Linked DNA regions of Canis lupus familiaris. The protein of the gene in region 1 interacts with the protein of each later gene in a pairwise test. Links are inferred from orthologs where the notes say so. Each region holds a gene or a part of one and is shown on either strand. Other genes may lie near its edges.

Evidence for each region.
Region 2: the proteins of SHTN1 (region 1) and FABP3 interact in binary tests that used the Homo sapiens proteins (3 or more experiments, as listed by UniProt). The two-hybrid records come from large-scale screens. The link is inferred for Canis lupus familiaris from reciprocal best matches to the Homo sapiens genes SHTN1 and FABP3.

What each region holds. Positions count from the first base shown.
Region 1 is NC_049249.1:27,813,826-27,821,584, forward strand, and holds the start of SHTN1 (shootin-1), read right to left. Parts: upstream 3,972-7,759; 5' UTR 3,756-3,971; coding exon 3,698-3,755; intron 2,696-3,697; exon of another isoform or gene 2,676-2,695; intron 1-2,675. UniProt on the Homo sapiens protein: Involved in the generation of internal asymmetric signals required for neuronal polarization and neurite outgrowth.
Region 2 is NC_049223.1:69,044,525-69,052,106, forward strand, and holds the start of FABP3 (fatty acid-binding protein, heart), read left to right. Parts: upstream 1-3,050; 5' UTR 3,051-3,135; coding exon 3,136-3,208; intron 3,209-6,448; coding exon 6,449-6,621; intron 6,622-7,582. UniProt on the Homo sapiens protein: FABPs are thought to play a role in the intracellular transport of long-chain fatty acids and their acyl-CoA esters.

The DNA.
Region 1 (7,759 bases):
GTTGGGTGATGATCGCTACCTTCAACACTTCCTCACCAACTTCCAAATGACACAGCATTACTATGCTGACCAGTTGAAGGGACTCTGTTGTTTGTGTCTGTTCAGCCTGCATCCTCCACTTTTGGTAGTGGCACACCATTCTTTTTTGGACAACTACTCTAATCCATTGGTCTTTGTGGGGGCTGCCAATCAAGGTGCCCTGCTGTTCCCTGACCAAAGAACTTAAACCCATGACCCAAACTGGGCCAACTGGACACTCTTCCTGGAATTCACATGCCCACCATCATCTCTAGACTAGGAACTCTTCACCAGTAGGGACAAAGTTTTATTCATCTATCTCTGATGCCTAGCACAGTGCCTGGCTATGAATATTCAATGCTTGTGGGATGAATACACTACAAAGAAAATCATGTACCTTAAACAAACGCTGAGCTAAGTCGATCATTTCCCAGCCGCATTCTGGAGGGGGAGCAAATTGTATGATGTTTTGTAAGGGAAATGTCCACTTTAGTAGCTAGGAAATATGCATCGGAAATAGTACCCTAAGTTGCCATTTGTCAGTGCATTAAAGACGTCAATCAGTCCAATAAAATAAAGCTCCAAAAAGGACAAAAAGAGAATTACCTCATTACCTCAACATCTGCTTGAACATAAGCAATCACACACTGGCTAATTTTTTTAAAGGGACATAATATAACTTTCTAGAAAGACATAATATAGGTAATTATACCATTCACGAGAAGGGAACATACAATGTTTTGAAGTAATTCAGAAGTGGGTGTGATTTATAAGACATAGAGCTTAGGGAATGGTAAGTATAAATTAGAGATTGTTCATATTATGACAGACTCCGTCATTACATTTCACAACTTTTGTCAAAAGCAACCTTAGTCACCACACCAATGAAGACTTCACATTAGGGAAGGCTGCTGTCAGTGCTGCCATTCAGAGTAGATAGGAATCCTCTTTCTCAACACCCTCTCGGGAATGGGTTCAAATTTTTGACTTAAAAATCACTGAGGAAAAAATGAAATAAGGAAACCTCCATGGCCAATAAACACGTATAAAGATGTCAAACCCCGCTAAGAACCAGGTAATACAATTTTTCTAAAGGTACTATTTCTGACCATCAGATTGGTAAAAATTACAAAACTTGTCAGACTGCCAAAATTAGTAAAGACTGATGTTGGTCAACATTGACAACTGTAGGGGGAAACAGGCACTGCTGGGGGGAATGTGAACTGGTACCATCATATTGGGGGGGGGGCACTTTGGCGATGCCTGGCACAACTTTATGTCTACTGGCCCTCTGATGCAATGATTCCCTTTCGAAGACTCTATCCTAAAAAAAAAAACAATGTGTGATTATACACATTTGTGTGATTATTTGATTCATGACTCTCTACTAGACAATAAACTTAGGTAGAGCAGACCATCTGGTTCACTACCTCTACCCCCAGTACCTACCACGTGGGGCTCAGATATGGTAGGTATCTGCTAAGTATTTGTTAAAAGAAGAAATGAGTGTGTTGAAGGGGTATCAAAAAAGGAAAGTAAAGTGTTCATCATAATTGGTTCTTCTTGTCTACATTAAACAAGAGCGGTAGAGTCAGTCACAATGTTAACAGGTATTTTTTTAAAAAATGTCTATTTTCAAAAATAAATCAGGCACACTGTCAGCTTACAAAATTAATTATCATACTGGTAACAGCCCAAACACCTAGCGGCCTGTCTTTCCACCTCAAATCCCTAGTTTTCCAGTTAGTTCCATGGGTCAAACAGCTATTAAATGCTCTTGAAATGAGCCAGTTGTTATCACGGTCTATGATCCAATGACAAAGAAATGCCTGGTTTTGAGAATGGGCTGAAAATAATCCCAAAACCTGTGTAACTAGACTCAGCACCCCCCCAAAAAAGTGCACCTTTTAAGAAACACAAATTTCCAAGTCTACCCATTCTATTGCCTTTGACATGCCCATAATCAAGGAAGTATATCCTCTAAAAATACCAATACCATGGATTTGTGTTCCCGTATAATATGAGAAAGAACCAAAAACTTTAGAATCTTCCTTTTTTTCTCAGCTCTCAAATCCAACATAGAAACAGAGGATGTGTTTCAAAATCAAGTATAAACAACTTGTGGATTATAAACCACAAGTGCTTTGATAAACCTACCCTTGGAATGATTATATTCAGAAAAAAAAAAAAACGTGAAATTTTTAACTGTATCACTACTTGAAAACGGACCATCCATCAAAAACTCTGGTATCCACCGGCAGCTATCACCCATGATGAAAGCTCCAACCATCTAGAATATGAAGTAAGAATCTTTATGTTACTGGGGGAAGAGTGCTATTGGAAATAAGATACGGACTGAATCCAGCCCCTCACTAAACCGCTTGAGGAATGCTCGCTAAGGGCATTTTGCAAACCCACTAAATTCACTGATGCTTGGGACTTTATGACCCTAAGGCTTAGTCCAGGACGGTTGTTGAAGGTACTGAGAAGGCAAAACCCATGAACATTTATCCAACACTTTCTAAATACTAGATATTACGAAGAGTCCCGTTCTGTCCATTTCAGGGAGGTAACGATTTCCCCAAGATAACAGGGTTGGTAAACAATCGTGCTGAGATTTGTTTCCAAGAGTGTCAACTCCAGAGAGGTCTACATACCTCGTGCAATCGGTATGTTTGTGGTTTCAAGGAGCAACAGGTCATAGCACTGGACAGGACCTGATAAAATCGTATGGCTTAGCCCATGTCTTTAGTCGGGTAAGGAAGGCATGATAACCACAAGGCCCCTGGAGGGGCAGAGTTTCTTCGAGGTTCACAGAGTCGATAAGTTGAGCCAACAGAAGCAAAAGAGCCAGAAAACAGCAGGATTGGCCACAGAGCAGGACCTCCTCCACGAGGTGGCCGTGTCAGCAAGTAGTGATTCGGCAAAAGTGCATGTTCCTACGCATTTTTATTTCCTAAATCTACGCAGTTCCTCTCTCTCTCCCTTGACCCATATTCTCGGGCCACCGTGGGCCTGGGTAAGGACAGGCATTTTGAAAAGTGAAGAGTGTCGAAGTCACATTCGATCGCCAATGGGGCTTTGTTGAGAAAGAAGCGCAGGAGGAGACGTAGGCGAGGGATCCGGGAGGAGGTGCCCCGCGGTTACCTGGCGGGGGTAGAGACGCGAGGACGCGCGGGCGGCTCCCCGGCAGGCCAGGCCGGATCTGAATTCAGGAAGCCGGGCACAGCCAGGGTGTTGGCTACTGACTAAGAAACTGCTAAAAATGGTAGGTGGTAAAACACAGCACGGCCTGGCATCGTGGCTGGGGAAGGAAAGAGGAACCAGACCGACGCCGAGCGAAAGCCGGGAAGGCTGGTGCGAGGCAGCGCGCAGGCCTCCCCGCGCCCGTGTGCAGGGGTGGGGCCCGGCGGGGGCGGGCGAGAAGGGGCCCGGGCCCCGGCCGCCCCCAGTCCGGGCCCCTTCCCCCACCCCCGCTCAAGCAGCCCGCGCCAGCCGGCCCCACAGCCCCCGCCCCCTGCCTGACCCCGGCCCGGGCCCCGGCCCCGGCTCCGCGAGGCGCGCGGGCGCGGAGGGCGCTGCAGCGCCGGGGCCCCGACACCTCCCAGCGCGCCCGCCGCAGCCCCGGCCCCGCGCCCGGAGCCGTCCCCGCCCGCACCTGGCGGCCGCGCGCCCCTACCTTGCTCCTTCAGGCTGGTGATGAGCTGCAGCTGCTTCTCCTCGTCCGAGCTGTTCATGTCGGCAGGTGGGGCCGGGAATAAAGGCAAGGAGGGAGAGGCGAGGGGTGCAGCGGGGGGGAGGGGGAGGAAAAGCAAGCCGCGGGTGGCGTGCGGCGGCGGCACTACCCGGAAGTCGGGTCTGCTCCCGCTCCTCCTCCTCCTCCTCCTCCTCCTCCTGGCGCCGAGCGCGCGAGTGAGATCATCCCCACGCACCTACTCGGCGGCCGCGGCGGCTGCACCTGCGGGCGCGGAGGGCGGGGCGGGCGGGGTCCGCAGCCCCGGGCGGGAGGTGGGGCGGCTGCCGCGCCGAGCCCTCCCCGCGAGGATGCCCGGGGCGGCGGGGGAGGGGGGGGGCTGGGAGCCGCGAGGGTGCGCCCCACTCGCTGCTGCACCCCTCCTGCGCCCCACCCCTGGACACGCGCGATCGGGGTGGGCGGGAGCAGCCGGCCTTGGGGCTGCGGCGTCCCTGGCGACCGCGCGTGGAGCGCTGCCGTGGGCCGACCCTCGCGGGCCCCCAAGGGAGGGCGGGGCGTGGTGGGCAGTAAACACCAGTTTAACCCAGTTCTCACCCCGTGGGAAATCAGCTGCCCGCAGGGGCCAGCTCGGGGGACGCGGCTTGCGCCTTGGAAAGCTGGCGGGGACCGAACAGGCCAGCCCGGTGCGTTAACGCCTGCAGAGCAAAGGAGGGCGGGGCAGTCGGCGGACGGCGCCCGGGCCCGGCGGCCTCCTGCAGCGGCGCGGCTCGGGAGGTGGTCCGAAGGGGGGCGCATCCTGCGGCACGTGGGCCGCTCTGCGGGGGCAGCACCTTGACCTTGGAGAGGCCGCCGCTGCGGGCTGAACGCCGGACGGAGGCCCCCCAGCCGCCGGGCAGCAGAGCTGGCCGGAATGAAGCCCAGCATCTGTCCCACTTCACTGCGCTCTGCACGGTTTAAACCCGGCTCCGGGTTAGACCCTGACCACGAGAGGTGTGGCAGGCCCGGCACACATCAGAACGGCTCTCCCCAGGCCCCAGTTGCTGGTTAGTCTTTGGTCAAGTCTCCTGACCTCTTCCAACTCCCATCTAAAGAACGGGAATGATACCATACTTACTCTCCAGGAAGATACAAAGCACCAAATATACAATTTGACACACAATAGGTGTTCTTTTTTTCAAGATTCAGATCACAGGTCAGGAAAAAAGGGGTTGTGAATGCTAAATTTAAACTAAAACGGGCATAGTTCTTTTACACTGATCAGTAAGCATCCAAAATAAATCCAAACTGAATTAGACCCACTGCATAGCTTGGTTTTTCTCACTAACAAGCCCCTACTGTGGTTACTACACCAGCACGGTGCTTCTGCTCAATACTCACTTGCAAATGTCCAACTCCATTTACTGAAGGGGGTCTCTCTGACAGTGGGGGAGGGGACTGGAATAAAGGTAGTTGCTGCAACCAGTATCTGCCTGGTGCGCCTACTAAATTCTAACTAAAACTTTGAAAAAAAAAATCATAGCTCTGCTTTCTCAAAAAAAAAAAAAAAAAAAAAGGTGACATAATATTTTTAGGATGGGTGATTTAGTGGCAGAATGACCCAAAAAAGGCAGCACAGTATTTTTAAATTAGAGTGAATTGGAATTTTGAAAATTCAAAAATAATTTTGGTATGGTGTCTTATTATCCAATCCTTTCCCTAGTTTTTCATGAAATAGTTTAGGACTTGCAGATCAACTGTCAGGAAAATCAGCAAGAGATTAACCGAAAGGCCTTTGCCCTGAGATTACCTGAGGTTATAGCTTAATCTTCAAAGATAAAGTGCCAGGAAACATGAGACAATTCAGATTCAGCTATGACAAAGCATGAATGATATGTGCTGTTGCCAGGTATTTTGTATATAGAGAAATCATTTCTTTTTTTAAAAGATGTTACTTATTTGAGAGAGAGAGAACAAGCAGGGGAGAGGGGCAAAGGGAGAAGCAGTGGACGGCAAGGAGGGAGCCAGATGACAACAGACAACAATGTGGGACTCCATCCCAGGACCCTGGGATCATGACCTGAGCTGAAGGCAGATGCTTAACCAACTGAACCCCCCAGGCGCCCTAAAAGAAATCATTTCTTTCCAGAAAAAAATCAAGACATTGGGCAAGAAATGGCCACCTGGTTTTTGTAAGGCAGCCAGGAAACCTGTTAAACCTGATCAGTCACCCTGATTGCTGGGCAGTGTCCAAAGACCTCTTCCAAAACTACCTGATCAGAAATATTTTCTCATACTCAACCAAATATCAGGACAGTGCCTATTAAATATTTGAGTTAATTCACAAAGTTCTGTTATTTTAATGGCTGATTTAATCATCTACTCCAATTATACAGTAATTAGGTATCCCTTTTGGAGTTTAAGAATGAGTTAATTAATTATCAAATCTATAATCAAATTGAGTGCTTTGGTCCCTGGCTTAATCTGAAGCCCCTTGAAATCAATCCTGTTTACCTTCCCTGAAATTAAAATAGCCTTCTGAAATACAATATGGTATTATCTTCAGGGCATGGAATGAATTATTAGGATGGCTATTAGAGTCAATTATTGGGATTCAGATCTCCCATTACGCTATGGTTTATTTATATGATATGAATATTGATGGAAAGGATAGAAGTGATATAATTAGTTTTTGTTCTGCTTAATAATGCACATAGGGATTTTTGTTGCAAGCATCACAATGGAATTATTAACCTCTATATAACATATAATTAAAAGTCTTTTAAAAATGTGTATATATATATATATAGAGAGAGAGAGAGAGAGAGGGAGAGAGAGAGAGAGATGGAGAGGACAGACTTTTAAAAAATGAATTGGAAGAATATGTACCAAACTCAGGATAATGGCCACCACTAGGAGTAGAAACAGGCCCAAGCAGTGAGGAGTAGAATGAGAGCAGTGGTCAAAAGCATTTTCTCTTTAATGCTTATTTGCATTTTCAGGAAATAATAAATTTACATGATTTATGTAATCTTTTGAAGTATACAAATAAGATCAAAATAGAACATGAAAAAAAGGTTCATTTTCTTTGATCTAACACCATTTTAGGGAATTATCTTCAAAGTCTTTAGATGTAAAGCTATTTATTATAATGTTATGATATAAAATTGATAGCACTATTATTTAACAATAAAAAGAAATAAAGTATACATGCTACAACATGGGTAAACTTTGAAAACACTATGCTAAGTGAAAAAAGCCAGTAAGAAAATACCAGATATTATATGATTCCATTTATATAGAATGTCCAGAAGAGGCAAAAGCCATAGAGAAAGTTGAACAGTGGTTGTTGAGGACTGGACAGCAGCGGGGGAAATGGGAAGTGGTTGCTTAAGAGGTATGGAGTTTTTGTTGGAGTGATATTTTTCCAAAATTAATTGTGATATTTGCACAATTCCATGAATAAATTAAAAACCACTAGGACTATAAACATTATACACTTTGTATGGGAGAATTTTATATGTGAATTACGTCTGTTATAAAAACAGATTTTCAGAGGAAGAAATGTTTTACTTCAATACACACATGACTCTACTAAAGTTTCTTATACAAGTATTTTTCATCTTTCAAATCTCACTATATATAATAATTTGTTCCAAGTTTTATTAAACATTATTTCATATACACTTTATCTTGTACCAACATAATCTACATATTTATTCAATCCCATTCCATTACGTCAAATGAACAATTAACCATTCTCAGATTCATAGATATTTGAGGTGTTACTAATTTTGTCTCTTTATAAATAGTACAGCAGGAATATAAGGGCTATGCCAAGGCATGTCATAGTCAAACTGTTAAAAAGTAAACATGACACTCAGGTCTTAAAGCAGCCAAAGATAAGTACCTATTACATTCAAGAAAACAACAAGAGTAATGACAGACTCCTTATTATTTAATGTTGTAATCATTAAAGAATTACAATATTCAACACTCAACAATGTAAAATTCACAATATCCAGCATCTAAAAATTAGAGTAAGCAAAGAAGCAGAAAAATATGATCCAT
Region 2 (7,582 bases), on another chromosome or scaffold:
AGCCTCCTTGGCCTCTACCTCCCACATCTCTCCCCGTGCCAGCAGCACATCCCCTATTTGAGATGTCCAGATGGCAGGGAGGGTCCAGGAAAGAGCCAGAGATGCTGAGTAGGCCTCCCTGCGTTCCCCCGAGCCCCGCCCATGGCCCCATGGATCATCCGGTGCAGCTGGCCCATCTCATTGGCTCTCTCATGGTTACTCAGCTCTCCTCTTCTCCATCTTCCCAGCCGGTGGTTGCCATGGAAACACAGAACAGTGACATCATCATAAGGCGAGGGCTGGGGAGATGCTGCTCTTGGCAAGGACTGGTCCTGCTGCCTGCCAGATGTTGTATCTACATCTGGATCTGCCAAGGGCAAGAGAGAGGGGCAGGAAGAGGGAAGGGCTCGAATTCTTTCCCCTTGCCCCTCATTCCCCAAGGTGGTGAGTAGAACAGGGCAAGGAGGATGCAGGTAATGAGAGGAATGAGAAGGTGTGCAGTGCACACTTGGGAGGGATAATGAAAGTCCAGTGGAAAACAGAGTGTGGCTTAGGAGTTCACTTCAGTGACCCAGATCGGGGTGTGGTGGGGGGTTGGGGGTGGCGCAGCAAGGCTAGTGGGTCTAGGCTTTGTCTCCATAGTGCTCGGCCAAGGCAGGGCCCGAGAGAGGGGGCAAAGGACTTTCCAGCAGTGTCCCCCCGCCCAATCCATCCTTTAGATTTCTGCAGCCCCTTCCTCACCACTGCAGCAGGTTCTAATCCTGTCTCAGAAGCAAGAAAACTGAGGATTAGAGAAGCCAAGCCATCTGCTGTGGGTGGCCTGGCAGGTGAAGGGCAGGGCTGAGAGCAGGTCGGAGAATCCTGCACTGTCCGAGGACAATAGGAACAATAACAGCAGTGGCAGTGAGCATGAAGTCCACCATGCTCAGCATTTTAAATGCATTATCTCATTTGATCCCCAAATACCATTAAGGAGTAAATACTGTCATTACCTACATCTGCAAGATGAAACTGAGACTCACAGTGGCTTAAGTGAATTGCCCACAACCACACAGTGAGTATCCCAGGGAATCAGAACTGGCACACAGATCTACCTGCCCACAGCTACCTGCCCCCACTCTGGCTCTCCCCATCAGCAGTGGTGGCATAAGGACCATGTAGGGTGACAGCTCTGGCCACCGGGCCTCCAGCTACTCAGTCCTTGAGAGAGGAGGCTCAGTGTCTAAATGTTGTGACCTTGACTTAGAAACCATCCCACTCTCCCCCCTACCCTCCCTTGCACCTGTTCCAGCAATGAGGTCACCAGGGCTCCATGCCCAGCCCTAAGGCCTGTCCCTGTAGCTTTGGCAGAAACAAGCCCCTGTCTTCTGGCAAGTGGACATGTCCCAAAGAAACAAGACCTTGGGCAAGAGAGGGCTCTTCCTCCCTGGCTTCCCCAGAAAGTCAGAAGTAGGGGTGGATGCTCTCCACTTCCACCTGGAGAAACAGAGGCCAGGCAGGAGGGTCCACCACACTGTACCCAAGTGGCAGAGCTGGGGAACCCTGGGGCTAGTGTGCCTGCGGCTCTGTCAAGCCTCCCCCCGCCTCCTCTGGACCTCTGCTGGCTGAGGTTCAGCTGGGCACCACTTCCTTCTGCAGGGCCTCCTATCTGTTAGGCATCCGCTTACCCCTCACTTCCTCTGGGAAGTCTCCCCTGAACTCCTAGATCAGGACAGGTCTCCCCTCAAGAGTCACATTAGTTCTGTGCCTGTGTACACAGAAGTGAGCAATGGGAGTATGTCTCATTCATAGTTGTCTCTTCAGAGCCTAACCCCAGGCCGGGCAAAAAAGTAGGCAGTTATTAATAACCAACCGCTGGATTAAGAAATGAATGGACTCCTCCAGGCTTCAGTTTGCTCATCTGTAAAACAGGGGTAATTATAAAGCCTACTTTGTTCTGAAAACATGGACTTTGTTCTGAAAGTTCAATGAGAAAATGTACTTTAAGGCTCTCAGCATGAAATAAATATCAATACAAGGTGATCTTACTATTAAAAGCGCTTTGTAAAAAAAAAAAAAAAAAGCGCTTTGTAAAGTGTCCACCGCAAGGGAGGCTGTTTGAAGGAAGTGGGTGACATTTCGTGAAACTGCAAGAGGCCTGCCTGTGTGCAGAGGTCAGGGAAGGGAAGCAGGTGGGGAACTGCCCTGGGGCCTGTAAGAGCATCTGGAGGGACAGAATTTCTGCAGGAAGGTGTGGGGGGAAATTACCTGATGAAATCCTCGGCCCCACACTCTGGTCAGAGGACCCCAAGGTGAGGGGGAGGAGCATGGCAGGGCTGAAAGGCGCGCAGGCGGCCTTCCACAGCGAGGGGCGAGCACGTGCGGGCGGGAAGGGCAGGAAGGGCAGGGCGGGATGCGTCATGCCCTCTCCTCGGGCGGGCGGAGGGCACAGGGGCAGCTCAGCCGCGCACGGTGCCCCTGCCGACTTTTCCCGCCACCGGCGAGTGGGGAGTGGCGTGGGGAGTGGTGAGACAGCCACTGCTTCCGGGGCCAGCCAGACCGGGCTTGCAGGCTGGGTTCCAATGAACCCTCGCCTCATTTCCTGTGACCTTGCAAGCTCCCCGCTGCACCTTGGACTCCTCACCTGCAACCTGAGGACCAAGATGCCTGCGCCACGGAGAGCCAGCCGAGCTGTCCCGGCGTGGGCATCAGCCCAAGGGCGTTTCCTTTCATCTCTAGTCTCCCATCTCTGCTCTGACCCCCAGCTCGGGGAGACACTGGGGGACGACGATGTCGGGGGCGCGCGCCCTAGCTCGCGGGCACTGTGCCCCCGGCTGCTTCCTTCTCGGATTGCGAGGAGCGCCTCGAGGCCAGGGAAGGGAGCAGGTCCTGCCAGCGCGGGGCAGGGACTCGGAGGCCGGGCCCCCGCGCTGACGCAGGCGAGCCAGGCGCCACTGGCTGCCCCCTCCCGCCTGGCGGGTCGGGGGATGGGCTGCCAGCTCCCGGCGGGTGAGCGCCAGCGGGAGGCTTCCTATTTCGGGAGCTGCGGGTGTGGGCCACGCCTCGCCACGTGACACCGGGGCTATTTAAGGCGGCAGCGCGGGCTGGGAACCGTGGGTCCTGGAGTCCTTGCACGCTTCTTTGTCGCCTGCTTTCTCGGCCTAGCCCAGCCTCACCATGGTGGACGCTTTCGTGGGCACCTGGAAGCTAGTGGACAGCAAGAATTTCGATGACTACATGAAGTCCATTGGTGAGCGTGACTCGGGACCCCGTGCGCGGCCCGGCGCAGCGTTCTGGCGCTGGCTAGTACCCTGCACGCCTGCTGCGTGCGCCCCTGCTGCTCACGGCTGGGGGGTAGGGGGACGCGGACCAGGCGGCAGCCTGGGTTAGGGCACGCGAGGCCGTTGGAAGGGGGGCTTTCTGGTCTGAATTCGGCCAGAGAGGGATTCCCAGGTAGGGAGGGGCAAGGCGGTAGATGTGCCTGCCGGTAGATGTTGGGGCGGGGAGGCGCTTTCGAGGAAGAGGATCTGGAGATAGATGGGTTTGTATAAGAGAGCATCCATCGCAGAAGGTGGGAGGCTAGCCGGAGGAGGAAAAAAAGAGGAGCACGGGTGGTTTTGGGATTGGAAAATGTGAATACAAAAAGGGAATGGGGTGGATGGGGAGTGTACTATGGCATAAAGAAGTGGAAACTCCTAGGAGGAGGGAGATGGAAATAGGGGAACAAGGGGTGAATGGGATATGAGGAGGCAGTGAGATAGGGGCTCCTCACGGTTAGCAACAACCCCTGCCCCTCATGTTGAACTAGAGAAAGGATGGTTGCTGGAGGATGCCCTCTCACCATCCAGTCTGTGACCTTGTGCTGCAGTGGTGTGTAACCAGGCTTTAATCACTGCCTAGTGGTAGGGCGCCGCAAGAGGACCCATCACCTGCTGGTTCAGCCACTTGTTGGGGCGGGGTCTGGTGGGGAAAACCACTGGGCTCCCAGGGTGCAGCAGGGTCTTGGAGGAAGGCCAAGATCTGCTAAAGACAGGGAGGGTCTTTGGTCTAGGAAGGTGTGGTTGTTTGGAATAAAGAATAAAGATTCAGACTCCTTAAACATGAGGTCCTTGGAGATCCCTCCTGTTTGCCTAGTTTGACAGATGGGGAGACTGAGACCCAGAGAGAGAAACTGGTCATATAAACCCCATGGCAGGGCAGATATGAAAACCTAGATTTCTAGATCTGCAGCCCAGAGTAGTTTCCACTATAGACCCTGGGGGTGGGAGTGGTAGGAACTGCTAAACTAATGATTGACCTCGGCCCTTCCCCTCCTCAAATGGGCTTAGATGAAAAAGGTGATACCCTTTCTCTTAATTCCCAGCTATGAGATTATCCTAGTGGCCCAGGCTGGGACAAGGAAACCAGAATATTGTTCATAGTTGAGCTACATTCCATGCCTTCCTACCAGGGAAGGGGGGCTGATTCTGGCAAACACCCAAATAAGGGGTTCCTAACCCTTTCCTGAAATAGGAACAAGTGTTGACTTTTGGGGTCACAGCTCTCATGCCCCCACCATAGCATGCTGGGTACTATGCCTACTGACTCCAGGAAAGTAGCCACTCTTGGAGCAGTGGGCCCTGGGCAGCTGTTGGGAAGTTGGGATGCCCCTCCTCCCAAAGCGGACATTCCAACTGAAGTCCTGTGTCCCTGAAGTGAGCTGCAACATCCTTATCACACTTGTTCCCTTATTTTGACCAAAGGGGCAAATTTGAGCTACAGGGCTGAGAATACATCCAGCCTGCTTTTCTCCATACACAGATGGAAAGGATGAGAGGTCCATGGAGGAGAAAAGATCATCCTCAGCTCTCTGTAAATAGCTTCCACTTCATTTCTAAGTAAAACCCACTCTTTCGGATCCCCCAAAATTATCAGCCCCATTTTTTGGTCTCATTTTCTCTTGACTCAGTCCCTCACTCACCCCCACAGTGGTTTCCTTTCTCAAACACACCACACCTCTGGGTAGGTCCTTAGCAAACAGAGCTCCTTGTATGGTGACAAGGCCGTCCGTACAGGGGAGTGGGATCAGCCTGACTCACTCTGATAGTTGGGGCTAAGGCCAAGTCCCTTACTGGCCAGGGCAGAAGCTGCCCTCGCCCCTCTAGTTTTAGACCAAGCTCCCTCAGGGGGCAGAGAGACCCAGCCTAGTTAGTACCAGTGATCACAGGCCCACCTGGTGGCCTCAGTGCCGGGAGGAAGCACATGCTGGAAGAATGGCCCCAGAGGAAGAATGAACAAGTTCTGGAGCCTAGATTCATACTAGGTCCATCACTCCCCCTCCTCCAAAATCAAAATCTTTGACTTTGGGCAAAATAACCTTTCTCCAAGCCTAATTTGTGAAGTGGGGAAAATAAAGCTTACTGTTCAGGGCTGTTATGTGTTCTAAGCATTAAGTGAAAGGACCCATGCGGGACATGGGCTAAGAACCTAGCTTCCAGCAAGTGCAGTGTATGTAGCCTGGCACGCCAGTTCGCCACACTGGGCTGCTTCTGCCTCACCTCTACCCTGTGACACAGCTAACCACAGCTGCTGGGGGCAGAATGGCAGGCAGTTGTGATGGGAGGTTGGAGGCAAAAGGCCAGATCACGAGGAAGCTATAACCTGAAGGGGTTAAGGCTTTGCTGTTCTTTCACTCTTGCAGGACACTGAAGGCTTTGCCCAGCAGCCAGGGAAGAGTGCTTTGTTCCGGGATGGGAGGGGGGAGTCCCCTGAGGGCCTCAGACTAGGAGCCAGGAGACCTGGATTCGAGTCCTAACTGCATAGCTCTCAGGCCTCTCCTAAAGCTGTACACGGAGACACACTTTCCCTTCTGCCTACCTCCTAAGTCCTAGAGAAGAGGACTTGGAAATATCCCGCTGCCATACATAGGGGACAAGTACACCAGTGCGTTTCAAGGCAAAAACTTCCAAAGGTGGGAAATGCTTGTCCCTCAGGTTTTGGAAGGCAAAGTCTGCATTTCTCTTTCCTTAGCCTGTGGCTGGAAAACTCGAGGGTCCGGGAAGGAGCCCTGTGCTCCATCCTTGGGAGACAGTATAGCTAAGCAGTTGCATGAGTTTCTTCAGTCAAACAGTTCTGGGTTGGAATTCCAGACCTGTGACCCTGGGCTTGAGTGTGAAGTGGAGATAACTACATCGTGCCTTCAAGGGAGAATGAAGGGCTAAATGAGGTAACACAAAGAAAGTAGCCTGCTCTAATCTCAGATCTGCCATGACTTGCTGTGGTATGCCTGTCCCTTAAACTCCTTACACCTCTCATCTGCCCAGTGAAATCAAGTGTCTCTTTGCCACACAGAGCTAACAGGAAAGCCGAATTTAAAAAAGAGCCGGAGTCTCTGGAAGTTCTCGTACTCCACATCCCTATGCCCCACATCCAAGCCTGACAGTTGTGCAGAGATCCTCAACCCTGCCTTTCTGTTCCACTCATATGCTTATCCTCTTCCCCCTGCCCTCAGGTGTGGGTTTTGCTACCAGGCAGGTGGCCAACATGACCAAGCCTACCACAGTCATCGAAATGAATGGGGACACTATCATCATAAAAACACACAGCACCTTCAAGAACACAGAGATCAGCTTCAAGTTAGGGGTGGAATTCGATGAGACAACAGCAGATGACAGGAAGGTCAAGGTGAGTCATGAAAGGGGGTGTAGAGATTGGAGACCTTAAGACTTGCCACCCTATTATTGTACCCTGAGGGGTAGGTGATTTGGGGGGATTGAAATGAACAAGGTGCATAAAGCATGTGTGGTGCTGGGATGCCCCAGCCCTGTCCTCCTGCATTGCTCCCCCCTTGAGGAGCATCTGGGGCCTTTGGGAGTGGGCAGCACAGAACCAGGATGTTCTTCTGACCTCTCAGTGTCAACTCCAGCTCCAGCCGGGTGACGTTGTGCATGGCATGCAAGAGCTCTGGGTTTCTTTCCAATCCATAGACGGGAGAGTTATGTGACCATGGCTGTGACCTCAAGTACTTTAGGAACAATGCCCAGGAGGATTCAGAGCTCTTCCCTCTGAGTGAGCAGGTCATTCTGGCCTCCAGCAGCAAAGGAGGCAGCTAGGGACAAGAGGTGGAGACTACTCAGATGCTTCCTTTTTGTCAACATCCACCTTGGAGGTCTCCTTCCAGGCTTGGCCAGGGAGCCTGAGGAATTATTTCTAATTCTGCCGGCCCGCAGGCAAGAAAAGCTATGTTCTGGAAAGAGCGTTGTCTAAGATGTGTTTCTGTGTCTTCCCACGAAGACTTAGCCCTCTCCTCCTAAGGAGGGAGGGGACATCGACTTCTAGTCTCAGGGCTTGTCACCCTGTGGTGATTCTGTCTTTGCTGCCCGCCTCAGGACTCCCAGCCCCTGGGCCAGGCATGGCAGAGAGAGAACTAAGGGACTTGACCTCTAAAGGGAGTCAGTCCCTATAGCAGTATCCTCCAGCAGACCCTATTAGTCAGCCCCTCAGCTGTTTTTGCTTCTTTACAACTGCCTCAAGAAAGACACGATAGGGGCTGGTCTCCTTGTGGAGGAAGCTGGAGCCCTGTCCAGAATCAGTAGGAAGCTGGCAGCAGAGTTGGGATGGTACCAAAGATATCATTCTACCTTAG